Anolis sagrei: one gene and its partners. The protein of the gene in region 1 interacts with the protein of each later gene in a pairwise test. Links are inferred from orthologs where the notes say so. Each region holds a gene or a part of one and is shown on either strand. Other genes may lie near its edges.

Region 1 (10,236 bases):
AGATTGATGTTGATTATTGAGAAGACATATCTGAACTTTAACACTCCAGAGTTATCTCTTCCAAAGGAGTAACATATTGGATTCAGAATTCAGCAATAGATTTAGTATTCTAAAGTGACCATGAAGTGACTAAAGTATCTTTTTCCTCTCCAGTACATATAACTTTGTAAGTGGCTGTTGTTCTCTAGATACATTTAATTACACAACAACAACAACAACAACAACAACAACAACAACAACAACAAAGCATCTTCAAACAATAGCATGGGGCTTCAGGTAGTATTTCCTAGGTCATGAATGCAACCAATTAATGTTCCATTTATATTCTCAGACTGCTTCCCACTCACTTTTGTTTATTCATATTCTCTAAAACATGACATCAAATTTGCCTTTATGATGCCTATCACAAGAGCATGTGGAATCTGTACAGTAGCCTAAAGTGCTGCGATAATAATAAAATATGGCACATAAAAGAAGCTGTTTAAATATCCTTATTGCTGAGTACTTAAACGTCCTTACAGTCATTGAAAGCTACACGGTTGAATGATGTACTATGATCTTTTACCTGCCAGCTAGAAAGGTTAACTGCAAAATATTGTACGATTAATTCAGTTAACAATGAACTTAAAAAGACCAGTAATTATTCTGCCTGCTATAACAGGTGGCCGCATAATGCAACGTGATTAGTATGGAGAAGTTGTTTGGTATGATGTGGAGTTTTATAGGCTACTTCTGCTCATCTACGATATTAAATATTTAAAGGTGTTATTTCTAAGGCTGATAGAACTGGCTCTAGACAATGTGCTCTTGTTTTCAGAGCATTAAACTCTGCCTGAGAACCAACCCAATTTAGGTGCAGGTTTCTCCCTTTGAAATCAGTGGAAGATTCAAATGAACCAATGAAAACTGTGTCTCAGATATAAACACATACAGATATGTGTCATCACATTATAACGTAGACCATTAATTTTCATAAGACTTAATTCCACGCAAATGCAGTATTAATACATCAAGGTGCACTTGATTTTAGCAAGAATCAGCACTGTAACCTTTTGTTACAGACAATTAAATCTGTTCCTCCAATCTGCTTCCTCCTACTTATTTAGCATTACTGCCCGATCCAATACATGGTCATGTGGGACTGGTTCCCAAGAAAGTTAGTTGGAAGAAATTTAGGAAATAAACAAAAACTCAATAATTATCTCAGTTTGAGAGAGTGAATCTTCAAACTATTACTGTACAATTTTGGGGAGCAGTGGTGGCATTAACATACCTGAATGACCCAAAAGTTTATTGATTTTTGAAAAAAATGTCTCTTTCTTCACTGAAACTAAGGTTTTAGAGGAGAAAAACAAATTGCACACAGTGGATAAGAATAAGTTCTTGGTCTTAGCAGCCCTAGAAAAAAAGAGGACTTTATAGATCTAAAAAAAAAACAACTGTCTTCTGTTTCTGTTTCACATATATTTCCTCTAAGGATGCTGCATAGGTCTGCCTAACTTCAACTGCTAAGGATTAAAAAGTGAAGTGAAAAATGCCAGGCATTGTAAAACAAGACTTTGCTTGTACACTTAATTGTCATATGTTGCAGTAAGAAGGCTTTGTAAGTTATCAAGGACCTCTCCTTGAATCCAAAAATGGCAAACAGTCCATACTAATATTATATTATTGTAAGAGATGCCATTTTAAAGGCTAATACAATATAATTGCTCTATAGTCTTCTTTTTTGCTGACATTCAAATAAATGGTGATAGCATCATGGTAATCTTTCAACATAAAATGCATCACTCTGCCTATAGTTTTCACAGCTCTAGGTGTGCTCATTTTATTGAAAGTTTGCCTTTCAGACATTTTATATTTTTGCATAAATCTGAAACACAGTTCCAGAAACCTTGACAGATGGTGTTTTGAAGGATAATGCAAGGTAGCTGGTGTGAATCCCACATTAGTACTCTCTCTTGCTTTCTTAAGCAACTCACCTTAGTCTGTGTTTAATATCCACATATCCTAACCTACAGCTACACTTGAGGGGGGTCGGGGAGTAGCACATTTATTAAAATATGTGCATCATTTGCAGCTGAATTTTAGCTTGAATGGGAAAGGTAGATGTAAATACATCTGCATGGGCTCACTTTTATTAAAAGGTTTTAAAATAACCACAGAGTTTTGTATTCCCCCCCCCCCCATTTTATTCCTCCCCAAAGTCCTCTACCCTTCACTTTTCTTCTGATTTTACTGTGTCTCAGCAGATAGTTCCCCCTGCTGGGAAAATTTCAAATTACACACACAAATCATATTTCTGGCGGGGAATCTATACTTTAAAAAAGAGTATATGATGGGAAAGCTCTCATTTACAAATCTGGCATCCCCTTTTAAAATGAGAGCCTGAAGACTTTTAAAATAAAGTATGTTTGATGCCTGCTTACATGTTTTTAAGATAATTATTCAGATTCTTTGGAATATTGACATCTTATTTCCATATACAGACACTGTTAGATCTCTATCAAATTATTTGCATTTGACTTCATTTCATTACAAACCCTTCCAAGTCTAACAATAACATGGGATGAAGATCCAGTATCATATTATAATTGAAAGGGAAAGCAATACTATCAAACTAAACAATTTAACTATATTTTACAGACAGATATTAATAACATGGACAATGGATGAAATCAGGGAGAATACTTTTGGTGGTGATTTTCTGTGCTTCTCAACTCAAATACAGTCTCAGTTGCTGTGAGTTTTCTGGGCTGTATGGCCATGTTCCAGAAGCATAACATGGCTATACAGCCTGGAAAACTCACAGCAACCCAGTGATTCAGGCCATGAAAGCCTTCAACAACACTCAGATACAGTTATTCAAAGGCACAACTTGGAAAGTTCTGGTAACTTGCTCGTGAGTTCTTCAACAATTAATTAGTCCTGACATGACTACAAGAGTTTGATATTCTAGCAAAATGGGGTAAACCTGGCAGTTGACAAACTTAACAAATCCAGAACAAGAGTAGACTGAAATGAACTGGAATGACACGAATCACAGGCATTGTGATGGATTTAGCTCTTCCCATATAATATGGACATTTAACACAACAGCCCAAGATGGAACAGCTTTAATGAAACACTTTGCATCTGTCTTTCTGTAAATAAAAATTGGAGTCCAAAAGCTTTTTCCACTACAAAAGTAGTACACCTGATAACAGAGCAGTTCTTACTAAAAAAAAAAAAGGGAGCACGAAAAGAAATAAAAGCTTCCTATGAAAACAAATAATTCCCATGGAAATGATTGTCCATGATGGTAAAAGTCTTGAGTGTTTTTTAATAAGCGAAGGGTATTTGCTACGATTTAACTAGTCATAACACTGGGCAGGAAGAGTTGCTTGAAATGTAGCTCTCAAAAATAGAAACAATCCTTGTTTGGATTACTACTGCCATTCCATTTTCTTTCTCAAGTATATATATATATAAAACTTTTATGATCTGGAAAAAAATCTTTCTAAAATAATGTACATCTTAGAAAAAAGAAAGAAAAAGATGGCTGAGTTGGATCTCTTTCACAAAATGCCAAATTGTTGCTGATTTGTTTGCAAACTGGATTGATGGAGAGGTGAGTCTATGAGGACACAAATCATCCTCTTGAGTATAGGGTGTTGCCATTGAAACCTATCAGTATCTCTTCCTCTGGAAGCAATAGTAGGGACATAGGGGCCATTGACACAAACTCTATACTTCTATAGTACAGTTGGATGAAGGTTATGGACACTGGGGTGATGGAGGAGTGCATCTACACTGTGGAAATAATGCAGTTTGGCACCACTTTCACTGCCATGGCTATGGAATCATAACAGCTGTATTTTAGCGAGGCACCAGCACTATTTGGTAGAGAAAGCTAAAGACCTTGTGAAACTTCAATCCCCTTTGAACCATGGCAGGCAAAGTGGTGTGGAACTGCATTAATGCTACACCCTCAGTTGCTTTCCTCCTTCACTTTCTCTAAGGCGAATCCTCCCACCAGACTCATTGGTCTCAGCAGCCTCTGTCTCTATGTAGATCTCAGACCAGAACAACAGAGCTCCTTGGCTCTTCCTCAACGGGGAAGGGAAAGACTATCTTCGCCTTTCTCTCCCCCTTTTCAAACCCCCTTCCTTTAGTCCGAGGCCTCGCACAAGATCTCAGTCCCAATGCTTCCCTAGGAAAGATTTCAGTCCCTATGTAAGAGCTGAGTCCCTATGCAAGATCTCAGTCCCTATGTAGGATCTGAGTGCCTATGCAACATTTCAATCCTCAGCAGCAACAGCCACCGCTTCTCCTTGGCTCAGAAAGGCAGCCAGAGGAGAGGAGCCCCCTCAAAGTCCTCCTACCTTCTGCCAAAAGGCGCATCGCGTGAACAAAGGACGAATCCAGGCTATCTTTCTCGGCCATCAGCTCGGGTAGGTATTTCTCCTCTTCCATAGTAGACCGGGCAGCACTTGGGATCGGCTGCCTGCCCGAAAGGTGGTGCGCGGGGAGCTCCTTGCCTTCCCTCGGACTTGGAGCAAGCCTCCCTTGGCTGCAGGACCCTGGACAGCGCGCGCCCCCCTCCCGCCAGACACACGCGCGCGCCCCGGGATGCCTGCCTCGGCTTCTCTGCCTCGCGCCTCTCTAACTGAGCCACAGGCGCCGCCGAGCAGGAGCCTTAACTAGAGAGGTGGGCGAGAAGGAGCGTTCCACCCACCGCTCCGCCCTTCCCATTGGGCAGCGGGGGCTGGAAAGGCGGGGCGTGAAGCGCAGCGGCGGCTTCCCATTGGCTCGCGACCCCGTCGCCTTAAGTGAAAGGCAAGGGCGGAAAAAAAAAAAAGCCGGGAAGGGGATCAGGGAGGGACTTAGCGCGCCGCTCGCTGTCCAAGGTGCTGAAGCGGAGCGAAGGGCGTCTGAGGGCTTTGGAAGGGCTGCGGCTTTGGATTTCTCTCTCTTTGATTCCCCTCCTTAGGAAAAACGAGTCAAGCCCAGACGCTGCATATTTTACTTCTGTCCAGGGCTGTTGATTTCCTCCAAGAATCCATACCCCGGGCCCGCCCCTGAAGATTCATGGAGAAAGTTGTCACCTTCCAAGGGACATTGCATCTTCCACTCCTATGACTTCTATTTCACAGGCACCAGCCCTCCATCCCTCTTTCGTGTAAGGATGCACTGACAGATTCATCTCAAAGAGTGACCAAAGATGTATCTACACCAAGTATGGGCAAACTTCGGCCCTCCAAGTGTTTTGAACTTCAGCTCCCATCAGGCATGTAGCCGGGGGGGGGGGGCGGCTCGGGGGGCTTCAGCCCCCCCCCCCCCGAAATTCTCATGGTGGTTCGCGAAAAGGCCTTATTGGTGCATTATTTAAACTGTTATGTTTATTCATATCATGATCTGATCACCCTACTCAATATATCCCATATGCATGGGGTATTGGGGTAATGATACAAAAGATTTGCTAGGCTAGACCCTCTTTCACTCAGACTCAGCCCCCCCCCGAAACTCAGCCCCCCCGAACCCCCCCCCTGAAAAAAAATCAGCCCCCCCCCCCCCGAAACGAAATCCTGGCTACGGGCCTGGCTCCCATAGTTCCTAACAGCCAGTAGGTTGGGTTGTTGTAGGTTTTTTGGGCTCTATGGCCATGTTCTAGAACAGTGGTTCTCAACCTTCCTAATGCCACAACCCCTTAATAGAATTCCTCATATTGTGGTGACCCCAAACCATAAAAGTATTTTCGTTGCCTCTTTGTAACTGTAATTTTGCTACTGTTATGAATTGTGGTGTATATATCTGATACTGTATGCAGGATGTATTTTCATTCACTGGACCAAATTTGGCACAAATACACCATATGCCCAAATTTAAATACTGGTGGGGTTGAGGGGGATTGATTTTTGTCATTTGGGAGTTGTAGTTGCTGGGATTGATAGTCAAACTTCCCATCAAAGAGCGTTCTGAACTCCACCAATGATGGAATTGAAGCAAACTTGGCACACAAAACTCCCATGACCAACAAAAAATACCGGAAGAGCTTGGTGGGCATTGACCTTGAGTTTTGTAGTTAGTTATAGTTCATCTACATCCAGAGAGCACTGTGGACTCAAACAATGATGGATGTGGACCAAACTTGGCACAAATAGTCAATATGCCCAAATGTAACACTGGTGGAGTTTAAGGAAAATAGACCTTGTCATTTGGGAGTTGTAGTTGCTGGGATTTATAGTTTACCTACAATCAAAGAGCATTCTGAACCCTACCAATGATAGAATTGGGCCAAACTTCCCACACAGAACACCCATGACTGTGTTTTCTGATAGTCTTGGTGACCCCTCTGACACCCCTCATGACCCCACAGGGGTCTCAACCGCCATGTTGAGAAACACTGTTCTAGAAGTATTATCTCCTGACATTTTGCCTGCATCTATGGCAGCCATCCTCAGAAGTTTTAAGGTCTTTCAGAACTAGGAAAATTGGATGTATATGTCTGTGGAATGTCCAGGGTGGGAAAAAGAACTCTTGTCTGTTTGAGGCAAGTGTGAATGTTGCTATTGGCCATCTTCCTTAGCATTAAATGGCCTGGCAGTTTTTAGGTGTGGCTTGTTACTGCCTGGGGAAATCTTTTGACGAGAGGTGATTAGTTGTTCCTGATAGTTTCTTGTCTGGAGTTCCCCCGTGTTTGAGTGTTGTTCTTTATTTGCTGTTATAATTTTAGTGGTTTTTTTAAATACTGGTAGCCAGATTTTGTTTATTTTATGGTTCCTTCCTTTAGGAGAAGAAACCTAGGTTTCTTCCTAACAGCTTAGGTTAGGCTGTTAGGAATTGTGGGAGTTGAAGACCAAAACATCTGGAGGACCCAAGTTTGCCCATGCCTGATGCACAATGTTTGATTAAGGAAGTTTGACACCACTTGAACCACTAAGACTCAAGGCCATGCCATCCTGGAAGTCATAATTTGGTGAGGCACCAGCCAAAGAACCTTAAATACCTTGTAAAACTACAACTCCACTGATTCCACAGCATTGGTCCATGACAGATAATAGTGCTGTCAAACTCCATTATTTCTATGGTGAACATACACCCTGGTGCTTTCATTAAGCAGCAGACTCACTTTGGGTTACTCTACACCAGGGGTCCTCAAACTTTTTAAACAGAGGGCCAGGTCACAGTTCCTCAAACTATTGGGGGGAGGAGGACTGAATTTTGAAAATAACATGAATGAATTCCTATGTAAACTGCACATATCTTATTTGTAGTGCAAAAAAGGCTTAAAAACAATACAATAATTAAAATGAAGAACAATTTTAACAAATATAAACTTATTAGTATTTCAGTGGGAAGTGTGGGTCTGCTTTTGGCTGATGAGATAGGATTGTTGTTGTTGTTGTTGTTGTGTGCTTTCAAGTCATTTCAGACTTAGGTTGACCCTGAGCGAGGGCCGGGTAAATGACCTTGGAGGTCTGTATCTGGCCCTCGGGCCTTAGTTTGAGGACCCCTGCTCTACACTGTGGAATTGATGCAGTTTGATATCAACGCTATGTAATCATGGGCATTGTGGTTTTACATGGTCTTTTGCCTTCTCTGCCAAAGAATGCTGATGCCTCAGCAAACTATACACTGCAGTTCCACAACATTGAGGCATGACTGTTAAAGTGGAGTCAAACTGCATTCATACTACAGTGTAGATGCACCCTTTGCCGTTCACATACCTAGTCTGACTACTTAGTCCAGACAGACTTTATGAAGGCAATCAACCTGGAAGGCTTCCCTCTGCTGAAACGAATAAGGAAACCTTTTCACTTTAAAGCAATAGTCTCTCTCTGTGGCAGTGTGTGAAGGGAGGGAATCAGAAACAACTATTAATTGCTATTACATCATATTACACCAATTTCTACAGAATGGGAAATTATTCAACATTTCAAAATGGCCATACAAATCCACCAGTCCCAAAAAGAAAATCTATTCAATTGTTTTCAGGAAAAAAAGGTATCAATCTATAAAGCTTCTGTGGATGCCCACCCATGAACACTTCAACCATGACATCACCCACAGCAATTCCTGACTGAAAATAGCCCATAGGCACATATCTGATAAATTCTGGATTTTCTTTTACAGGCTTAAGCTGTAAAAAATGTTGACATACTAGAAAAATTATTCTCTTGACATTCTTGCCTACTTCTCAGTCACTATGGTAATGGATTTAGACCTCTCGAAAACCTGAGAGGAAGCTTTAAAGTAAACATTATATTTAGACTGCACTGAGTCTCTTTGAAGGGATATTGACAATTCTTACACTAAACTACATTGGAATATTACTCATTCAACTTCACAAGTATTGAAGGCTGGCGTTCAATGCCTTAAGAACCATTTTTGGATCAAAAGATCAAAATAACAATATTCAAAAGATTAAAATAACTACATTATGACACCAGCTTCAACTGAATGTATTTTATCCAGCAACACATCCAGTAAATGGCCAATAGGTGAATTATTCCAGGTTGATTCTGTTTTCTTTTTAATGGGGGACAGCTAGGTAGGCCATTCACTGTTCTATGGTAACATCCATGGCAGATGCAAATCTGTAGCCCTGACACACTCCATCTCTTCATCCAACTAGATCAGTGGTTCCCAACCTTTTTTTTAATCAGGGACCATTTGGCCAGAGACCACTTTGACCAGGGACTACTCTCCAACATTACCAAAATGGTTATGAATCCGTTTTTGGTCAACTTTAGATTCAGTTTGGTTATTTGGGGTGTTGATTCAGAAAATTGCATTGAATAGACCACATCAGCTCTAGTTTCTGATACAGAACATATGCCATCCAGTAGTCACCATTTGCTCGCCCATACCACGGACCATATTTTAGTTCTTGCAGACTACTGGTGGTCCACAGTCAATATGTTGGAAACCACTGAACTAGATGAAAGAATCTGCTCCAATCATTTTTATATTAATATGAACATAATAGCCTCATAATTATGGAGCAAATATACTGTGGCTCTGTTGGAAAGCACACACAAGACAGGAAAACCTATATAAAAGTGAACAGACCAGGAGATGAGTTTATCTGCTGTTCAGTGGACCCCATTAGATGTATTACTGAAGCAGTATTTGATAGATCCCTTCCCTATGATCCATACATTTGTAACAGGCATCAAACAAGCAAGGACTAAGCAAATAATGCTTCCTTTCTTTGACAGCATCATCCAATCGCCATGTGTTATGGCTAATGCTATTGTATCTTCAAGACCCCAGTTTCTTTGTGTTCAATTTGTGATAAATATCTCAGAATTCAACATTCCATATATATAGGACATTAAGGAAAAGATGTGGTAGATTTTGTTTTGGCTCAGAAAGTCTTGCATCAGCTTCATTCGAAGCAGTGGCTTTAGAAAGCATCTGCATCCTCAAATCACAGAATTAAAGCTATCATGTAATTAAACTGTCTACAGCAGAAGTAAACAAACTCATTTTAGTTTAATTAAAACTATATATAAGTGTCTGGATGTGTTCATGTGTGTGTGCATTCACACATGTTTGCCATTGCAAAAAATATTGTGCTCTATTTCTAAACACTTGTGGTATTTTCTTTTACATTGGCTCAACTATTACATTTCCCCTAATATTTCTTTGAGAAGCAACACTAACATTTATGTCTATCTTTTCAGCATATACAGTGATTTATAATTCCATTTCCTTGGATCCATACATCCTCTGAATAAATTATTACCTATCCTACTGGCTTTACAGATAGAAAACAGCCTAGGAAAGAATACTACCTCAGTGATACCCAGGACCACAACTAAAATTTAAAGCACATAACGTTTATGGGTTTAGAAGCATCATGTGTATATAGTATACCACACTTGCATTAACAAAATATGACCATATATCCTTCACTGGTTCCTATTGGAATCATCGCGTAATTTTATATGTGTGGATGTGTGAACATATGTTTTGTTAAATGTAATGAGTAAATCTATTTTTATTTTATGAACTTGCAGCTAGGGTGCTTAGGCTCTTCATCAAAGAGCCTAAGTATCCTAAAGGCATCAGGTCCTGCTTAATCTTGGAAGCTAAGTACCACCAGATCTACTTAGAATTTGAATGAGAGACTTCCAATGGATATCAGGTGCTGCAGGCTATATTTGAGAGGAAGGAACTGGCAAAATCATCTCTGAGTATTTCTTGCCTAAGAAAACTCTATGAATTTCATAGAGTTTCCATAAGTTGACA
Region 2 (10,250 bases), on another chromosome or scaffold:
CTTAAAAACAAAAAAACTGCGGGGCCAAATGACCCCAAATTTGGCAATAAAACTCCTCACAATCCAAGGAGTGACCATCACTGAAAAAACTCCACAAAACACCTTTAAATTCCAAAAAGGAAGAGGACAACACACCTCCCCTGCCCCCTCCCGCTGAGGACACAGAATGAAAGTTCTGAAGCAACTGCGGCCCCTAACGAACACTAAGGCAAGGGATCAAAGGGCTGAGGAGGAGGAGGAGAGGGGGAGGGGAAGGAAAAAAGGGAGGCGGGCCACACTGTGCACACACTCTTGACTCTTCCCCACACACACTCCCACAGCATAAGGGAAGGAGGAAGGGGTCATACGGACACACGAAACTGACATGGCTTGGAAAGGAGCCCTAAAGACCAGCCCAACCTCATTTGGCAGTAAAGGAAGAAACCATCAAAGCCCTCATAACAGATGGCCAACCAGTTGAAAGGGAGCCCTAAAGGCCATCTGGTCCAACCCCCTCCTACCCACCTTCCCTCCCTCCCTTTCTCCACTTCCCTTCCTTCTCCTTCCCTCCCTTTCTTTCCTTCCTTTTTCTTCTCCTCTCACCAGCTTCATCCTCCTTTATTAAAACTACAGTGTAGATGCACCCAAAGTCAACCCTTCCACACTGCCATGTAAAATCCAGATTATCTACTTAGGACTGGATTATATGGTAGTGTGGACACATGCACACACACACACACACACACATGGATGGACGTTGGATCACTGGCTGCTCTGTGTGTGTGTGTAATATATAATTACAATACTTTATATATTACACATACATATATATACTATATAATACATACATATATTGTTATATATACTTTTATATAATGCTACTACTATATATTACTATATTAAATAGACTCATAGAATAGAGTTAGAAGGGACTCTACCATGGTATTGGGGAAGAACACATGGAAGGAGAGAAGAAAGGGCGGAAGGAAAGGGGGAAGGAAGGAAAAAGAAAGGGGGGGAAAGAAGGAAGGAGGGAAGGAAGGAAAGCAAGAGGTACTGAAGGAAGGAAGAGAAAGTAGAAAGGAAAGAAAAATGGAGGTAAATGCAGGAAAGAAGTAAAGAAGGAAGGAGAAAAGGAAATAAAAAAGTGAAAGAAGGAAGGAAAGGAGAAAGAAGGAAGAAAGGAGATGAAGAAGTAGAGAAAGGGGGGGGGGGTGAAGGAAGGAAAGAGAGAAGGAAGGATGAAACCAAAGAGCGAAAGAAGGAATGAAAGAAAAAGATAGGGAAGGAAGAAAGGAGACAAAGGGGAAGGGAAAGAAAAAGAGGGAAGGAATAGGTAGGTACCTCTCTTTCATAATATTCCAGATATCTACCTCTACCTCGAAAATTCTTACTATAGGCCACAGCAACGCGTGGCAGGGCACAGCTAGTTATAATATAAAAACATTTAAAATAGAAAATTAAATTCGGTTTGCATCAATGTGATTTTTGAGCTTGCATCTTCTTTACAAGTTGGGTAATCCTGGGGCTAATATTGCTCAAAGCTACATGCATAGCATCACTTTCAATCAATTCCTAGACTTGTTTTTAATTACCAGCAAAACTGAAAACCCTTGTTCACATAAATAAGTTGCTGAGAAGAGCAGCGGATAGCTCAAGGTGATTCCTCGAATTTTAGTATAAAAATGGGGGGGGGGGGGTTATGCCAAAACTCCTCAAAAGAATAAGATTCAATCATATTTTCCATAATTTCTCACACTTCAGCCCACCCAGCCCAAGTAAAAAGTGCTAGATTTGCTTTATTTTTAAAGTTGCTCCTTTAGGAATTTCCTCTTTCCCCACTGAATCTGACCCCATAAGATTCCTTTCCAACTCCTAGCGATTTTGGGTTTTTTTAAACAAAATTGGCTTGTGTAAACAAGGATTGGTGATAAAGTTTCAGTGGAGACACCTAATGATACTAAGACCCCTTCCACACAGCTGAATTAAATCCCACATTATCTGCTTTGAGCTGGAATATATGGCAGTGTGGTCTCTTAATAACCCAGTTAAAAACAGATATTGTGGGATTTTTTAGCTTGATATTCTGGTTTATATGGCTGTATGTAGGAGTCCTGAGCCCACACTGCCATATAATCCAGTTCAATGTGGATCAGGTTGTTGGAGACGCATGAAGAAAACCACCAGACAGTCAAGGGGGGTGAAGAAGTGACCTCAAAGTTTATTGATCAGCCAAGCTGTTTATATATCTTTCTTGTGCTCTTTGCAAAGCTTGCCTGGTGACAGTGGGTTGGATTACATCATTGGCAGAGTGATTGGCTAGAGGTGAGCTCATCCTAAGGTGAGGTAGCCTGCAGCCCACTATCAGTCCCAGGTCATGATGCCCCCTGCATCCCCTTGCCAGAAAGGTGTGAAGCATAAACGTCAGGGGACTGGAATCTGCTATGTTCCCCGGAGGTATGGCTTGCCAGTCCCCCCTAGTGGTACATTGCTATTCCTGCACCCCTGCACTAGGGACACAATGGTGCCCCTCCTGCATAAGAGACATAATAATAATAATAATGTCCCTTCATCAGGTCACCTCCCTCCCTCCTATCTTTCAGGAAGAAGCTTAAGATGTGGCTGAGGGGACCAAGCATTCAACCAGTAAATAGTGCAATAAGGATAACAGACTAATGGAATTGACAATTGGACAGGCTTTGGACTATGATCTGGATTACATGATTTTAATTGATGTTTTAATAACTAACATTTAATTGGATGGTTTTAATTGTGTTTGTTCATTTCTATATTTATATGTATTGTCATTGAATCGCTGCCTGCTGTAAGGCCTCCCCGAGTCCTCTTTTTTAGAGTGAGAAGGGTGAGATACAAATATGTGTGGAAGAGCCCCCAGTGATTAATTGTGGGACGTGCATGTGTGTCCCAGGCCCCTTCTACACAGCTGTATAAAATCCACATTGAACTGGATTATATGGCAGTGTGGATTCAGGGCCCTTCCACATAGCCATATAACCCAGAATATCAAGATAAGAAATCCCACAATTACCCGTTTTGAACTGGTTTATCTGTCATATATTTCAGTTCAAATCAGAATAGACAGGGAAGTGGAGATGAATGAGGGAAGAAGTAGAGACAGCCTCGCAAAACTGGCCTTGACTAGGAGGTGCCTACACGGTGGTAACACAAGCATGCATGTTCCTCGCTCGGTGCTCACAGAAGACTAACAGGCAACCGCCTACCAATTACGAACCCCACCACCTATTGGTTTGTCACCTACTGCAACTGGAGAGTTCATTAATGAAGCTCCTTCCTTTTGGCCTGCTACAGCTCATTCTGGCTAATGATGGCCCTGCAATGTGTTAATGGGTACTCGCAGGAACAACTTTGTGGTGGATCTTGGGATAGTAGAGTAGCTTATCCCCACTACTAGCTTGTGGCAGATCTCTGCCCCGTTTAGGTCTTTTTACAACAGTTGATGTGCCTTAAGGTATCTCCCTGGCTTCCAAAAGTTTTACAATGCCATTTAGACTTCGCGCCTGCGCTGTCCTTGCCAGCTCCTTATTGATCCAGTAGGACACATTTAGGCCTCCAGTTATCAAAAATCCCAAGTAGGCCTCTGCAGGCCCTAGTTAGGTTTGTTGGGCTCCGTAGGCCCTGATTAGACCTTTGAGGGCCTCTGTGTGGTTCCTAATTGAGATCCTGCAGGTTTTGCTGTTTTTATGCCCAGTAATCCTTGTAAGTATTTCAAAGGTCTCTGGGGTCTTCTGAGCCAGTGGTTTCATTTTGGAATGACACTTCTAATATCTGTCCGAACGGATCTCCCTCTACATCCCACCTCGAAGTCTAAGGTCTTCTGGGGAGGCCCTGCTCTCGACCCCGCCTCTTTCACAAGTGAGATTGGCGGGACGAGGAGCAGGGCCTTCTCGGTGGTGGCCCCTCACCGGTGGAATTCACTCCCCGGGGAAATTAGAACAGCGACATCCCTCCTTTCCTTCAGGAAAAAACTGAAAACATGGATTTGGGACCAGGCATTCGGACAATCAGGCAGATAAAGAAGGATTTCGACGATGGACAGGAATTGACAAAGTGGAATGGAATTATGGAACTCTGAAAGACAAACGCTGAGCTTGAGATTAGTTTTTATTGATTGTGTTTTATTTTTATTGATTGTGTTATATACTGACTGTTTTAACTGTGATAATTGTTGATTGCTGTTTTATATGTATATGTATTCTATGTAGGCATCGAATTATGCCTTTTTTGTAAGCCGCCCTGAGTCAGGGGTTGAGAAGGGCAGGGTAAAAGTACCCGAAATAAATAAATAAATAAATAAATAAATAAATAAGGGCTGTTCTGTTGCTCAAACAGCAGGCCGTGCTTATGCCTCCAAGATCAATCAGTAGAGAGCTGGGATAGCAGTTTGATCTCCTGTCATGAATGAGCATTATTATTATTATTATTATTATTATTTGACTTTTCTTCCATTGGTGGGACTCAAAGCGGCAAACAATGGTTAAAACAACAGAAATTACATGACACAAAAAACATAACACCATAACCCCAAATAAAACAGATAAACAAATAACCCACATTACATAAACCATATATAACTAGCGTAATAAATACAGTGTATACAATTAAGGTGTTGGGTATTGGAGATCTTTCGCTTACAAGTAATATACATTTAAGTGTTAATGTTGGCTGTACATGTCCCCCCCCCCCCCCCCCCCAGATTTTATATTCTGTGCAGAGAGGCTTTGTGTGCTGATCTGTGAGCATAGTATGGTGCAATGGGCGACAAAACAGGTAACAGCAACAGGCAAAGTGGTCCTTATCCACCCATGTTTCATGTTTCTTATGTCTCTATTATGATGTGACAGCAGTCAATTTGATTAATTGCTGACACCATAAGAATAAAGAGACAAGAAACCTGGTTGACTATTAATCTATTGAACTGCATCAAACTTTGTGAGAACTGTGTGTGTGTGGTGGTGGGGGGGGGGGGTGGTGAGGGAACAACTGAGGCAAAATTCTCCCCTAGACTCTTCCTAAACTTCCCCTGGGAAACACCAACTCTTATATACACTTGAATGAACTGTATATTGATAGAAGCGTTTATTATATAAATAGCATGCCATCTTCACTAACTCTTTTCCATACAATACATGTTTATCTAGGTTAGATTGGGACCATTGCAGCTTTCAGGGATTTACCCTTTTCTTTTTTTTTTTAAAGAGGAAGGGCTCCCACTAAGATTTTAGTGTTCTGAGATTCAACCCATCTTTCCTTCTTTTTCATTACCTTAAAGATGGTAATGTAAGTTGCATGGTTTAGAGAGTATAAACTGGAGTACTGTAAGAATTTAGATAAAATACAACTAAACAAAAAGAAAGAAAGAAATGGAAGTGGCCATGAATCTGGCAAAGGAAAACATTAAACAAGAATACTAGTCTGTTTAGTACCATAATGAATAACATACTCTGGCATGTAGTCAAAATAACTTCTCAAATCTGTTGGCTTGAAGGATAATTGGTTGAAGGATAAGTCACAAATTGTAAGGGGCATCGTGCACATGTTCTAATGTTTAAAGCAGGTGATCAAGACTGATGGCAAAAGGCTGTTAGTGAATGCAGGGAAGATCACAGGCAGTGGATGTTAAAAGCAAAAAGCAATTAACACAAGGAGTCACTAGAAGGTGAAAAACTAGATGGAGTTTGAGTGACAAGGAATGGACTACATGTGGACTTTTAAAAGTAAAGATTTTGCACTTGTATGAAACATTTGAACTGTTTCATTTGATCAGTTTGGAGTCACTTTATGTTTGTTCCTATATGTATGTGTGACTCTCCCTGTCCTATTTGTGAGACACCCAGCGAGTATTACCCCTTCCTCTACATAGCAAGATCACTTTCATTTTAGCATCAAAGAGGCACAATAAGGCGAGTGCTAGAGAAAGAGGAAGGAAGTAGAGGGATTGTGAGATGAGCAGAGATCAGTGCTACTGGAGCGGTAGCTAAAGTGGCCTTTTGATTCATTGGGCTCCAGATGCGTATGCTGCTGGATTTTATGCATTCTGACTCTGCTCCCATTCAGCCTTTCTACTGAACCACGGTGAATTTGTGGGCAATGACTCCTTGGCACAAAAGTGATAAGAAAGTTGGTGTGGGTAAGTATGATAGAGCTTTCTCTTTTTGTCTTTCTTCCTCTGCTGGGTGTGGGGAGAAGTGCTGCAAATAAAGTGGCTAGATCAGCAAAGCAATGCAGAAAAACAAGTGAGATGCTTGCCACAGCTTTGATGGGCCCATTATGGGCATACACTTAGAAGAGGATTGTAAGGATGAATTGCTTCCTAGGTGTCTTTAGTTGGTACTGGTTTCTGAGTCTCAAGGCAGAACCCCATGGTGGAAATTATAACCTGATTGACATTAAATTTAATTTTAAAGTAACATTTCTTCAACATTTGATAACCCAGTTGAAAGTTTAAACATCTAAGTTCTTCTGAGGCTTTGACTCAGTTGTGTAATTTTGTCTTCTTGTAAGCTCTTGCACAGACAGGAAATAGGGGAAAACATGTTTTCAGAGGCAGACATTGATAGGCCATAAGAGTTCTTTTTTTTACTCCAGAATAAGTACATAGGAAGCAATATAGATTGCTTAGCCACTAACCCACTAGGGATTCCAGGTACTAAAAGGGAAGCACAAACTGTTCTGTGTTAAGGGGACTTCCAAGTATGAAAGCACTAAATCAGTAAACATAAATGTTAATCTACATAATGAAACAGAAGATCCCACATCTGGTCTCCAGTATTACCATGTAAGACCTGCAAAGACTGCTGTCTAAAATCCTGGAAGGCTGCTGCCAATGAGGGTAGTTAACATGGAGCTTAATGGATAATGGCTTGATTTGGTGTAAGGCAGCTTCCTATGTTTCTGGCAGAACAGTATGCATGCTCCAATGTGTTTGCCTTTGCATGAAATGAGTCAGACAACTACTTGATTTCTGGAAGAAATGCTGGCAGCAAAATGTTTTTCTGTTTCAAAGAAATTATATGGCGATATTGTAAAATAATTCAAAACTCATAATAAGCTTGCTAGCTACTATTGCAAAAGCAATGAGCTGAAACAATAGTTCTCTTGTGCAAATGGGAAGAAATCTCTTGAGTTCTTCAAGGCATGTCAAGTCCATTACCCTCGTTTTCTAGAAACATGGGATTCTTAATAGCTCCACTTTATTCCACTTTGAAATCCATGGCAGCAGAGAAGATGTTCAAGTGAAAGATTTATACCATCTAAAGAGAAACTAAAGTATTCAGTCATAACAAATTCACAGATAGCATTTTAATCCAATCTGGTCAACATATTCATTTTGTTATGGAAAAGATCACTGATTATGGAAAAGAGCTACTGGGCTCACTAACTTTATATTCACAAAAACTTGTTTTCAGACAATGCCATCAGCAGTTCTGACCTGTAGATACCTGAGAGGGAATGTCCTTGTGTAGATGACCTCTGTGCTGAAGACCTCCTTCACTCTCTCTTTCATTGCTCATTGCTCCCCAAAAGAGGTTTCTCTCTCACTATTTCATATTTTCTGTTGACAACTCAAGATAGGAAAAATTGACATCGTTACTAAGGAATGTTGACAACACTTTTTAAAAAAAACAATGTAGCCTTCTTTACAACAAAAAAGATTCATCCTTTGGACTGCACATTTTCAACTTATTCTTGGTGTTTTTATGTGCGTATGATTTAAAAATGAACAAAAATCTGTTTACACAAGTAGAACCCAGTGAGGTGCAGCAAACATTTATTTATTACAGTAATTCACTGTAGAATCATGGAATCATAGAGCTGGAAGAGACCCCATGGGCCATCCAGTCAAACCCCCAAGAAGCAGGAAAATTGCATTCAAAGCACCCCCAAGAGATGGCCATCCAGCCTCTGTTTAAAAGCTTCCAAAGAAGGAGCCCCCACCACACTGGGACAGAGAGTTCCACTGCTGAACGGCTCTCACAGTCAGGAAGTTCTTCCTAATGTTCAGATGGAATCCCTTTTCATGTAGTTTGAAGCCATTGTTCCTCATCCTAGTCTCCAGGGCAGCAGAAAGGAAGCTTGCTCCCTCCTCCATATGACTTCCTCTCACATATGTATACATGGCTATCATGTCTCCTCTCAGCCGTCTCTTCTTCAGGCTAAACATGCCCAGCTCTTTGATTCTACTGTGATTAGAATGCTTTGCTTCTGTCTTTGTCAGTTGCTTAAAATAAAAATAAACTTGTAGTCAAGGCAGCTTAAAACACATCAGTATTCATATTCTTAACTACATAGGCTCCAGGTCAGTGGTTCTCAACCTGTGTGTGTCCCCAGATGTTTTGGCCTCCAACTCCCAGAAATCCTAATAGGTTGTAAACTGCCTGAGATTTCTGGGAGTTGTAGGCTAAAACACCTGGAGACCCACAGGTTGAGAACCAGTGCTCTAGGTTGGGCCTGTGTAATGTCTGGGTCCAGAATTTTTCCTTTCTGTTTTAAATGCTTCAATTAGTCTTTCCCCTTTCCCCACATATATGGGGAAGATGTACTTTTATTATGTATGTCTTGCCATGCTGTTTGGTCACTAACAACAAACAGGTGAAATTGTATCTCATTTTCAAACTGGTATCAGTATAATTCCCTACATTTTGAAGTTGGCATCAGCAAAAGTCATCATATGGTCTCTTCCCGTGTGTTCTGCTATCGCAGATGTAAGCTGCAGGCAGGAGCCATGCTTTTGCAGATCCCACACCACCAAGATATCCTCTAAATCCAATTTCTTTCTAATAGTTGAGCTCCCCACCCAGGCTTTTCAAGTGAATATAAGGTTGCTTTGTATGGTAAAGCGGGAACAAAATGAGGCATTGCCTATGACATGCAAATGTACATTTCATAATGCAGACCATCTGTTCTGCTTTCACCTTTGTAGTTCTCAAATCATGCAGTTAGAGAGAAATGAGTTGTTAAATGTTAGATGTTTGTTTTTAATGACTACTGAGATTTTAAAAGCCTGATCTAAAAAGTAGTTGTCCTGAACAGAAAATCATATAATAGTTTAGATCAGTCCACCAAATACTCCAGAAGTTGATTTATTGTCCTATTAATTTTACAACTTGAATTTTTTAAACTTTGGTGGAGATTGAATTGTTCAGTTGTTCTTGTTCGCATCCCCTGTAAAAATGATGATGAGGCAAAACATGGACAAATAAATATTGCAAAGGGAAGTTGTGAGTCTACAACTGTGGCTGATATATTTAGGCCGGCCTTGAAACAGCAGTATGAATTTTTCATTTTCATCATGCTGTGAATGCCTATTATTTCAGTTGATTCTTTCTGCATTTTCCTCTATAGAAATTCAAGGGAAATTGCATTGGGAGCAGAATTCCTATTTGGAGGGCAAAGTCTTCATTTTGCTTCCTTATCAAAGCTGCACCCCTATGTCCACATCCTCTCCACCTACCCACCCACCCATCTTGTCTAAGGAGATTCCTTAGGGTTTCTTAGATCAGGAGCTAAGTTTTTCTCATTTTTCACTGGAGTCAATCAATAGTAAGTTGTAAGGTAGACCTAATTTGAACTAGCATCAGAATCTAGATAAAGAGCAAAGCTTACAGATAAAATCAGTGCCATTGACAATGTATACAGCTCATTTAAACAAAATCTATATGTTTGGTTTGTCTTCAGTGTATTGCCAAGACAGCATATTCCCATAGATAACACTAGAAAGTACAATTTTGCTGTAAATATTTCCTTGCCCCTCAGACATATGGAGCTCCTGGTGCATCCTTAACTTCAGACACTCACTAGTATGATTGAAAACAGTACATTTTGTGCAGAAAAGTCCCAATGCCTAGGCAGGGACATTTGCTTTTGAAGCAGGAATATTTAAAGTTATTTTGCTTTACTTTGCTAATTTCTGCAAATAGGACTATATAAATCCAGGGTAGCCTGAAGTATGTCTCTGCAGATATTGATGGAGATGAACTCCCATCATTTCACACCATTGTGCCAACTAAGGCTGATAGGGGCTGCAGCCCAATATCCAGAGAACTGCATTTTGTTCACCAGTGCCTTAAGGCAACACTTGCCCAAACTCTAGTCATGTCTTGGCAAATGAATATTGATAGTGTTGATATTTAAGATTCATGAAGATTCATTCACTCTGGTTGTTTGAAATTGGAAAAAGCAACTAGGGGGTGAATAGGTTCCTCAAAGCTATGGTGGAATCTAGGCCTACG
Region 3 (10,641 bases), on another chromosome or scaffold:
TCGGAAGAATCGCGGATACGGAAACCGCCATTTTGGACCCCAGTACCCACTAAAACAGTAAAATGGCGGATTGACGCCGTTCAAATTTTGTATTTTTCTGCTCTTAATTCTAAGACTAACTGCCATCATGTTTTCCTCATTTTGGACTCCTGCGCTCGGGGAATAATCATTTTGTTTAAAGTATTTTACTTTGACAGAAATCAGCTGTTTGTCAATTTGGCCGGGTTCTTCCAAGACAGCCCGTTTCTCCTCAGCGCTGCTCGCTCCCTGCCTGGATCCAGCAACCGGGGACCCACTGCGGCCACCCGCAGGAGACCCCGGGAAGGCAGCCAGGCACGGGTCCCGGTCTCTGACCTGGGAGACATAGTTTTCCAAAGGACAGACAAGGACACTGCCCCACCATTGCAACCCGGAAATCCTCCTTGGACTCTTTTTGCCCTCTCCTATTGACTTTCTGCTCCACGTCCCGGACTGTTTTCTGCCATATCTTTGGACACAAACCTTCAGATCAGGCTTGCCCTGAAGAGCAAGCAGCCTCCGTTTCCGTGTGCCTTCACCAGGAGACCATGAATTTATTTCAAATAATAGAAAAACGAGCTGTTTTAATAAACTTTGCTGGGGATGGGGATGGGATTGCCTTATGAAATATATGAAATGTATGTAATGAAATATCATATAGAATGTGCTGTGTTTCCCCTTCCCGCCTTTCCCTTTGACCCTTGCCCCATAAAGATGTGACCTGGGGATTACTGTCTTGAAGAGGAACTCCTTTGTCCTCCCAAAACTCTTCCCGATTGTTTCATTTGCATGGACCATACTGTTGTTTCCCCCCAACCCTGGCCCTCAGAGCAGACCAGCGAGGGGAGGGGGTCAGCAGGAACTCGGAAACAAAGACTGATTTAATCAACCAGGTATTGTTGATCCCCCTTTGAGGTCCGATACCGAAAAAGCCTTTTCATATTTCTTCCCAAATCCCATCAACAGACCAGGAAACTCATTGTTCCTCTATCTGACACCCCGCCAAGTGAGGACAAAGCCACACATTCCAGCTGGCGGATGCCCCTAAGCTGATCATTTCCTCAGCCATTGTTGGCTTCGTCCCGCCTCCTAGCTGCCGATTGGTCCATCTTCAGAGGCGCTAGGAAGGCACTGATTGGCCTCCCAGAGGCAGCGGAGCCCGCTGATTGGTCCGGAGGCGAGGCGTGCTGCCAAGCCTCCTCCCAGCTGTTCCGTGGCCAGCCAATCAGCACGAAGCCGGCTGACAGAGGGTGGGCGGGAGTTTTGAAACTGTTTTCCTTTGTCTGTGTACTATAAAAATGCTTGAAAATTATGCTTGCAGTGGAATGATTCCTGCAATGCATCTTATCTCAGCTGAATCACAAATAAACCTCGGTTGCTGAAAAACTTCTTCCACTTGGATGAGGCATTATTATTTGTAATATTTTTTACTCTTTGGATTGGCTCTCGCTAGCCTCACCAAAGGTCCAGGGCCCTTTTGAGCGGTCCTCAGGGATCTCCTCCGCCGGGAGACCCTACAAAAAGCAGCTCGATATCACTGGCACCTGGTTCTGACAAGGCCAGACCGTAGTGCCCTGTTCTCCACTTTTAAAGTAAGATCCTTCTGTCTTCAAGTTGGAGGGATTTTCTGAGATAACAAAGGACCGCAACTGCCAGCTGGGATGCGAGCAATTGTGTGGTGTCAGTGGGTGGGAAGCAGAGGAGCAACCACTCCTGAGGAGGAAACAGCAGGGATGATGGTCAGTGGGGCCTCTTGACCTCCACAATCTGGCCCGTTCTGCCATGCTCTGGTCTGGTCTGGTCTCTAGGCCTTGAGGGACCTGGAGGGTCAGAGGAAGGAAGCTGGCCCAGAGCGTGCATGTATGAGAAGCGAGATCCAGATTGGATTACTGCAATGCGCTCTACGTGGGGCTGCCCTTGAAGACGGCTCAGAAGCTCCAACTGGTCCAATGATCGGCAGCCAGGATGCTAATGGGGGCCCCTTACAGAGAGAGGTCAACCCTCCTGTTTAAGGAACTCCACTGGCTGCCGTTCATATTCCGAGCCCAATTCAAGGTGCAGGTGCTTACCTACAAAGCCCTGAACGGTTTGGGACCAGCCTACCTGCGTGACCGCATCTCCATCTACGAACCCACGCGTTCTCTTCGGTCATCTGGAGAGGCCCTGCTCGTGATCCCACCTGCGTCGCAAGCGCGTTTGGTGGGGACGCGGGGCAGGGCCTTTTCCGTAGTGGCCCCCCAACTCTGGAACACCCTCCCCAAAGACCTTAGACAGGCCCCCTCATTGGCTATCTTCAGAAAGAACTTAAAAACTTGGCTTTTCCGATGCGCCTTCCCAGATTAGGAAATCTCCACTACCGAGTCCTACAAGCACTTTACCAGAACTGATTGATGCACATTGCACATCGCACTTGCCCTAGAAGCCCTTTATACACCTCCTGTCACATCAGCACTTTTAACGCTTGTACCCACCTTTTGGCCCGGCCCAGTTTTACTGTGTTTTAATGTATTTTGCTTGTTGTTTATTTTTGCTTTGTTTTACTTGCTTGATTTGCGTGTTTATATTGTTATGTTGTATTGTTGCGGCCTCGGCCTGTTGTAAGCCGCATCGAATCCTCCGGGAGATGCTAGTGGGGTACAAATAAAGTTTAATTATAATAAATAATAATCTAGAATGAGATCAGAGGTGCCTTCAAGGGGATTCCCAGGGAATCATAGAATCCAAGAGTTGGAAGAGACCTCATGGGCCATCCAGTCCAACCCCATTCTGCCAAGAAGCAGGAATATTGCATTCAAATCACCCCTGACAGATGGCCATCCAGCCTCTGCTTAAAAGCTTCCAAAGAAGGAGCCTCCACCACACTCCCTCTGGGGCAGAGAGTTCCACTGCTGAACGGCTCTCCCAGTCAGGAAGTTCTTCCTCATGTTCAGGTGGAATCTCCTCTCTTGTAGTTTGAAGCCATTGTTCCATTGCGTCCTAGTCTCCAAGGAAGCAGAAAAGAAGCTTGCTCCCTCCTCCCTGTGGCTTCCTCTCACATATTTATACATGGCCCTCATCATATCTCCTCTCAGCCTTCTTTTCCTCAGGCTAAACATGCCCAGCTCCTTAAGCCGCTCCTCATAGGGCTTGTTCTCCAGATCCTTGATCATTTGAGTCTCCCTCCTCTGGACACATTCCAGCTTAGAGTCAATATCTCTCTTGAAGTGTGGTGCCCAGAATTGGACACAATATTCCAGATGTGGTCTAACCAAAGCAGAATAGAGCATGGAGAGCATTACTTCCTTAGATCTAGACACTATCCTCCTATTGATGCAGTTGGACTACTCACCTTGCCCAGGGGGAGCGGGCGTCACGGCAGAGGAGGCCAGGAGAGCGAGGAGGATGATGATGATGAAGCCGGTTGAGGACTTCATGGTGAGGCAAGACCAGTGAAGCTCCAGCTCTGCCACCTCCTGCCTTTATATCCCCTTCCAAGAGAAACTGGGCAACCGAACTCCTGGCGCTCAGCAGGGAACAAAGCACAAAGCCTGCCTTGTGAAGTGACCTTTGTGGCTGGAAACACGGATGAGCCAACCAACGGATGCCAACAGGATCCACGGGGAATGACACAAGGAAGAAGGCTTCCCATCCAAGAACTGGAGAAGGGCAAGGCCCGCAGGTCATGCCAGGGCAGTTCCAGAGGGAATTCTAGGGTTTAGTAGGCATTGACCTTGAGTGTGGGAGTTGTAGTTCCCCTACATCCAGAGAAGACTATGGACTCAAACAATGATGGATCTAGACCAAAACTTGGCATGAATATCCCATATGCCCAAATATGAACATAGATTGAGTTTGGGAGAAATAGACCTTGACATTTGGGAGTTGTAGCTACTGGGATTTATAGTTCACCTATAATCAAAGGGTGTTCTGGACTCCACCAACGACAGAATTGGGCCGAACTTCCCACACAGAACCCCCATGACCAACAGAAAATACTTAAGGCCATTCAGTCCAACTCCCTTCACCAGGGCAAGAAAACATAATCAAAGCCCTCCTGACAAAGACCCATCCAGCCATAGATAAATAGATAGATAGATAGATAGATAGCTTGCAGTGTTTGGGGAAAGGGAGCAAGATTGAGACATCAACCAGCTGCAACTCATGGTGAGCAGGGGACTTTCCACTGGAAGGAAGGAGGCACCTTTGGGAGAATTATCTGAATTATCATTGGTTCATGTAGGAACCAATGATACTGCTAGGCATACTTTTTGAAAGATCACAAATGATTTTCGAGCTCTCGGAACAAAGCTAAAACAATGTAATGTACAGGTGGTCTTTTCATCCCTCCTCCCAGTCGTAAAACACGGTCCTACAAGGGCCAGAAAAATAGTACAGGTCAATGACTGGCTTAGAAAATGGTGTCAATAATAATAATAATAATAATAATAATAATAAAGCGAAGGCTGGATGGCCATCTGGCAGGGGTGCTTTGATGGTGCTTTTCCTGCAGGAAGGCAGAAGGGGGTTGGACTAGATGGCCTTTAGTGGTCCCTCCCAATTCTTATTATCTATCTATAATAATAAAGAGTAGTAGCAATAATAATACTGATAATAATAATAGTAATAAAGCGGAGGCTGGATGGCCATCTGGCAGGGGTGCTTTGGTTGTGCTTTTCCTGCAGGAAGGCAGAAGGGGGTTGGACTAGATGGCCTTTAGAGGTCCCTCCCAACTCTTATTATCTATCCATAGTAATAAAGAGTAGTACCAATAATAATAATAATACTAAAGCGGAGGCTGGATGGCCATCTGCCAGGGGTTCTTTGATTGTACTTTTCCTGCAGGAAGGTAGAAGGGGGTTGGACTAGATGGCCTTTAGAGGTCTCCCCCAACTCTTATTATCTATCTATAATAATAAAGAGTAGTACCAATAATAATAATAATAATAATAATAATAATAATGTAATAAAGCGGAGGCTGGATGGCCATCTGGCAGGGGTGCTTTGATTGTGCTTTTCCTGCAGGAAGGCAGAAGGGGGTTGGACTAGATGGCCTTTAGAGGTCCCTCCCAACTCTTATTATCTATCTATAATAATAAAGAGTAGTAGCAATAATAATAATATTAATAATAATAATAATAATAATGATAATAATAATAATAATAATAATAACGCAGAGGCTGGATGGCCATCTGCCAGGGGTGCTTTGATTGTGCTTTTCCTGCAGGAAGGCAGAAGGGGGTTGGACTAGATGGCCTTTGGAGGTCCCTCCCAACTCTTATTATCTATCTATAATAATAAAGAGTAGTAGCAATAATAATAGTAATAATACTAAAGCGGAGGCTGGATGGCCATCTGGCAGGGGTTCTTTGATTGTACTTTTCCTGCAGGAAGGTAGAAGGGGGTTGGACTAGATGGCCTTTAGAGGTCTCCCCCAACTCTTATTATCTATCTATAATAATAAAGAGTAGTACCAATAATAATAATAATAATAGTAATAATACTAAAGCGGAGGCTGGATGGCCATCTGGCAGGGGTGCTTTGATTATGCTTTTCCTGCAGGAAGTCAGAAGGGGGTTGAACTAGATGGCATCCCGCTAGCCACGCCCCCGACTGGTGATTGGCCGGAGCTTGCAGAGGCCGGAATTCCGATTGGAGAAGCGGCGGAGCCACGCCCCTCCGCGAGCAGCCAATCACCGCTCGGCGTGGGCGCCTGCGCTTTGAGACAGAACGAGAGCGAGCGAAGCCGTGGTTTCCGTTGGGCGCCCTTTTGTCTTCGTCGCTGGTGAGAGACCCGCGCAGGCCTCCTCGGTGAGTGCAGGGCCGCGGAGGGGAAAGCGGGAGGCCGGGGCAAAGGGGCTTTCCCCGTCGGTTACTTGGCCGGGCCGGGCGAATTCTCTTTCTGAGGCGAGAGTGCGCGCGCAACTCCTCCTACCCCTCCCCCACACACGCCGAGCTGTGCGCATGCGCGAGAGCGGACGGCCATGTTGCGCATGCGCGTCGGCGGCGGAGCGGCAAGGGCTGGGCTCGGTTCCTTTCTGCGCCTGCGCAGTGGTTGGCGCGACAAGGAAGGCACCCGCGTCCCCTCCTGATGACGCACTTCCCTATATCTATCTATATATAAATGCTCTGTGCATAATGAGTGCCTTAAAAACAAAAGAACCAATGAACGAAATCACACCAAATTTGGCAACAAAACGTCTCACTACACAAGGAGTGACCATCACTCAAAACATTATGAGTTTATCATTTGGGAGTTGTAGTTGCTGGGATTTATAGTTCACCCACAATCAAAGAGCATTCTGAACTCCACCAATGACAGAATTGGGGCAAACTTCCCACACAGAACCCCCATGAGCAACAGAAAATACTGAAAGGATTTAGTGGGCATTGACCTTGAGTTTGGGAGTTGTAGTTCACCTATATCCAGAGAGCACTGTGGACTCAAACAATGATGGATCTGGACATGAATACTCAACGCACCCAAATATGAACACAGATGGAGTTTGGGGGAAATAGACCCTGACATTTGGGAGTTGTAGTTACTGAGATTCACAGTTCACCTACAATCAAAGAGCATTCAGAACCCCACGAATGACAGAATCGGGGCAGACTTCCCACACAGAACCCTTATGACGATCAGAAAATACTTAAGGCCACCCAATCCAACTCCCTTCATCGGGGCAAGAAAACGTAATCAAAGCCCTCCTGACAAAGAGCCATCCAGCCATAGATATAGATAGAAATATATGATTCACAGACACACACATATATGTATGTGACAGATGCAGTATCATAGATTTCAAAGGGACCTCTAAAGAAGTACAATTATATGTTGCATGTTCCAGAGTAGGCAAACCAGACACTCTCCACATCAACACTGACAAAGAAACAGCAAGAAATACTGTTTACCCACAAGCAGAAAGAAATTACATATATTGGAAACAAACACTTTCACATTATTTTATTTCCCAGATCAACAGACTGGGCCACAGCAACGCCTGGCAGGGGACAGCTAGTAAACACTATTATGTCAAAATTTGAAAAATGTTCTGTCCCTGGTTTGAAAGTGTGATTTCCTGTTTCATGGTGCGGACCTTGCTTTGAAAATAGTTGCTCTACTCCAGGAACTTGGTTGATTTTGTGGCTGCCACAAACTGGGTTGAAGTAAATTCAGACTCTAATAATAATAATAATAATAATCAGACCTCTGAGGATGCTTGCCATAGATGCAGGCGAAACGTCAGGAGAAATGCCTCTAGAACATGGCCATATAGCCCGAAAAAACCCACAAGAACTGAATAATAATAATAGTTTTGTTGTTCATTCGTTCAGTCATCTCCGACTCTTCGTGACCTCATGGACCAGGAAATAGTGACATTTATCACCCAGGAACAAAAATCACAGTGTCACACCGTGTAATCTATTACAATTATAATTATATAAAAACATAATATATTTATGTAATATATTTATTGTATAATAATATAGTAATGATAAGTAATATATTGTATATACAATGAGGAGAGATGGGTAAGGAATAAAATTATTGTTAGCTACTACAACAAACTACAAAACTAAAACAGACAAAACACACCTATTATTAATCTTATTATGTTTATTAATACCCCGCTTTCTCGCTACAAAAGAGACTCAAAGCAGCTTACAATAAAACTAAATGCAATACAATTTAAAACATAAAAATATAAAAACATTGAAATAGTATTAAATATTAATTGTGCTAAAAATAGTCAAAATCCTTAAAAAATGAATAAAAACATGTTCAAAGCTAAAACCCATAGCACTCCCTGGCTTGTTTAAAAGCCTGCCTGAATAAAAAGATTTTATTCAGGTAGACTTGCACAAACTCCGCTAACAAACAGACAGCCAAGGAAATAATTTTATAAAACTCCTCCTCACAATCTGATTATTTTTATCCCTTATTATTCTATTCCCTATGCCATGTTTTAACTTTGAGGTTTTTCTATACATTGTAACTGTATTCTCAATTTGCTTTTGACAAGTTAAATAAAAATAAATTTCTCTTTAGATGCTAATATATAATTACATTTCTACTTCTGGTAGAAATTCATTAATCCTATAGTTGGCATTTCCTCCCATCATTATTATGAAAATGAGCAAGTCCCAATATTTGAGCAAAAAATTCTCCATAATCAGCATAGTCGGACTCTCCATTTTGGGGATATCACAGATATTTATCCACCATTTGTCTTGTGTTGGGAAAGCGGGTTCCTTCACCTGAGGATTTGCTTCAAAGAGAACATTGTCCACCAACAGGATCCTGTTGAAGGTTGTTTATATTGCTTTACATGTTCATATTTACAATTGTTTTTAGCTATATTTTATTTTAGTCAGATTGGTCATTATTACATCTTGGAGTGGTGATATTACAATTATATTAAACTGGTTGCCAGTTACGTTTCTGAACAAAGTACAGAGAACTCTTGATTCTTACCTTTGAAGACCTGCATGGTCTGAGCCCAGTATCCCCTCCTCCCATATAATCCACCTCAGGGAGATGGTTACTCCACTCAGCTGGATGCACTGCCTGAATTTAAAATAGCAAGAAAGATTGTCTCTTCCAACAGATGGTATTTAAAGGATGAATTTAGATAATGAATTTAAACTATGGATCAATTGTTTGCCTATATATTGATCTTGCACGCTCTTATGTTCATGTTATCCATATTTTTAACTGGTGGTATGTAAGGTAGTTTAATGCAGTGTTATTCCCCACGTTATCTGTGTAGACAGGCAGTTAAGAAATAGCAGTAGTAGTAATACACATCCATACATGCACCTATGATGTGACCTACTTTGAATTCCTTTTTCCAGAGAAGCTGATGAGGCAGGTTGGCTGACCTTGATGCTGATAGTGGTGCTGCCCATAAAGGGGGGGGGGGGCATGGTAGGACTGGGTAAGATGCTACGAGCGTTGCATTCGTTCATAACAAATGATTTTTTGGTTCCAACAAAGCAGGGACCCTCAATGCAGAGGCAGAAGGCTCCACCCTCTATGAGCATGCCAAGGGCAAAAGTTCCATCCTTTTCTGGGCCAAGTCCTAAGGCACATCTGAACCTCTTTTTTTTTTGCAGAATTATTTATTTATTATTATTATTAACAACATTTGTTTACCGCTTTTCTCACCCCTGGGGGGGGACTCAAAGCGGTTTAAAACATAATAAATGGCAAATTCACATTTATATTAAAATATCACATATCTAAATCAATAACATAACTGCAGATAAAAAACTAAACTATAAAAACATCAAACATAGACATAAGCATGAAACATATTATTGCTGCAATTAGTAATGTAGGCCCTGTCCCTTCCTCTCCCCCCCCCCCCCCCAAGGAGATATGGTCAGCATAGCCTCAAAATGGCTTCACTGGGATTATGCCTGGTGACCCAGGATCCCTTCCCATATTTTCAAGGGCCAGCTCTCTTCCCAAGCTTAGCCTTGAAAGAGTTTGGAGAGAGATAAGCTCATATTCTTCTCTGATAGTTCCTTGGTCTCACTCCTCCACTGTGGAGGTGGGATTTAGCAAAGACTGGGTGCCACAGAGAGTAGCCTTTTCCAGAGAGTGCTGTTAGGCAGGAGGCAGAAAGGTCTAGGGCTGTGGTTTGGATAGATAAACTGGAAATGGAAGCCACTGATATTGTAGCAGATTAAAGGCGGTTGGATTTTAAATTTGCTGTTCAGCTGTTTTGAAAGAGAAATTATATTTTGTTTGACTTTGTATGCTTTGGAAAACTTGGATCAATACATGCTATAAATAAATGATATCAAGGTTTGTGTTGTCATGCAGGAAACACTAAAACATGGTTGTAGAGCAGTGGTTCTCAACCTGGGGTCCCCAGATGTTTTTGGCCTACAACTCCCAGAAATCCTTGCCAGTTTACCAGCTGTTAGGATTTCTGGGAATTGAAGACCAAAAACATCTGGGGACCCCAGGTTGAGAACCACTGTTGTAGAGAGTAAAATCCCAGTGGTGTCTGTGCAGCAGAATTCTTGCACCCTGAGCCTCCCTTAATGTTCTCAGTGAACACTGTAGGTCTTTGTAGTGCACCATAAAGTACGACTACATTAGACAGTGACATTAGATGGGTTTGCAGAATATAGATGTTGCCTTTGGCCAGTAGAACAGGTCTACTCTGCTTATAGGCTCTTCACATGGATTTAAGTATTTATCACACTATTTAACTATTTTATCACACGGATTTAACTACTTTATTTATTTATTTATTTATTTATTTGCTGTATTTATATCCGGCTCTCTCTCACCCCAAGGGAATCTCAGAGCAGCATACAACATGGCAGTGTTCAATGCCGCATACACAATCAAATGAAACCCAAAACATCGTATACATAAAACAAATAAAAATATAAATAACGTAAAACTGTTAAAAACATTGGTTGCTTGTACCATTATGTTATTGATCATGCTGTGAAATAAACCATATCAGAAACTGTTTTTGCACTTCTTTCCCAATCTTCCCATTCTATTTATTTATTTACGGTATTTGTATACCGCCTTTCTCAGCCTGAAGGCGATTCAAGGCGGTTTACAGTCGGCAACAATTCAATGCAGACATAAAAATACAGTTAAAACCATTTAGCATA

The links.
Region 2: the proteins of KHDRBS2 (region 1) and DOCK2 interact in binary tests that used the Homo sapiens proteins (3 or more experiments, as listed by UniProt). The two-hybrid records come from large-scale screens. The link is inferred for Anolis sagrei from reciprocal best matches to the Homo sapiens genes KHDRBS2 and DOCK2.
Region 3: the proteins of KHDRBS2 (region 1) and NCOA5 interact in a two-hybrid assay, tested with the Homo sapiens proteins (2 studies listed by BioGRID). The two-hybrid records come from large-scale screens. The link is inferred for Anolis sagrei from reciprocal best matches to the Homo sapiens genes KHDRBS2 and NCOA5.

What each region holds. Positions count from the first base shown.
Region 1 is NC_090021.1:117,774,308-117,784,543, reverse strand, and holds the start of KHDRBS2 (KH domain-containing, RNA-binding, signal transduction-associated protein 2), read right to left. Parts: upstream 4,542-10,236; 5' UTR 4,453-4,541; coding exon 4,362-4,452; intron 1-4,361. UniProt on the Homo sapiens protein: RNA-binding protein that plays a role in the regulation of alternative splicing and influences mRNA splice site selection and exon inclusion. Binds both poly(A) and poly(U) homopolymers. Phosphorylation by PTK6 inhibits its RNA-binding ability.
Region 2 is NC_090022.1:104,833,751-104,844,000, reverse strand, and holds the start of DOCK2 (dedicator of cytokinesis protein 2), read left to right. Parts: upstream 1-5,974; 5' UTR 5,975-6,108; coding exon 6,109-6,148; intron 6,149-10,250. UniProt on the Homo sapiens protein: Involved in cytoskeletal rearrangements required for lymphocyte migration in response of chemokines. Activates RAC1 and RAC2, but not CDC42, by functioning as a guanine nucleotide exchange factor (GEF), which exchanges bound GDP for free GTP.
Region 3 is NC_090024.1:248,050,795-248,061,435, forward strand, and holds the start of NCOA5 (nuclear receptor coactivator 5), read left to right. Parts: upstream 1-5,709; 5' UTR 5,710-5,805; intron 5,806-10,641. UniProt on the Homo sapiens protein: Nuclear receptor coregulator that can have both coactivator and corepressor functions.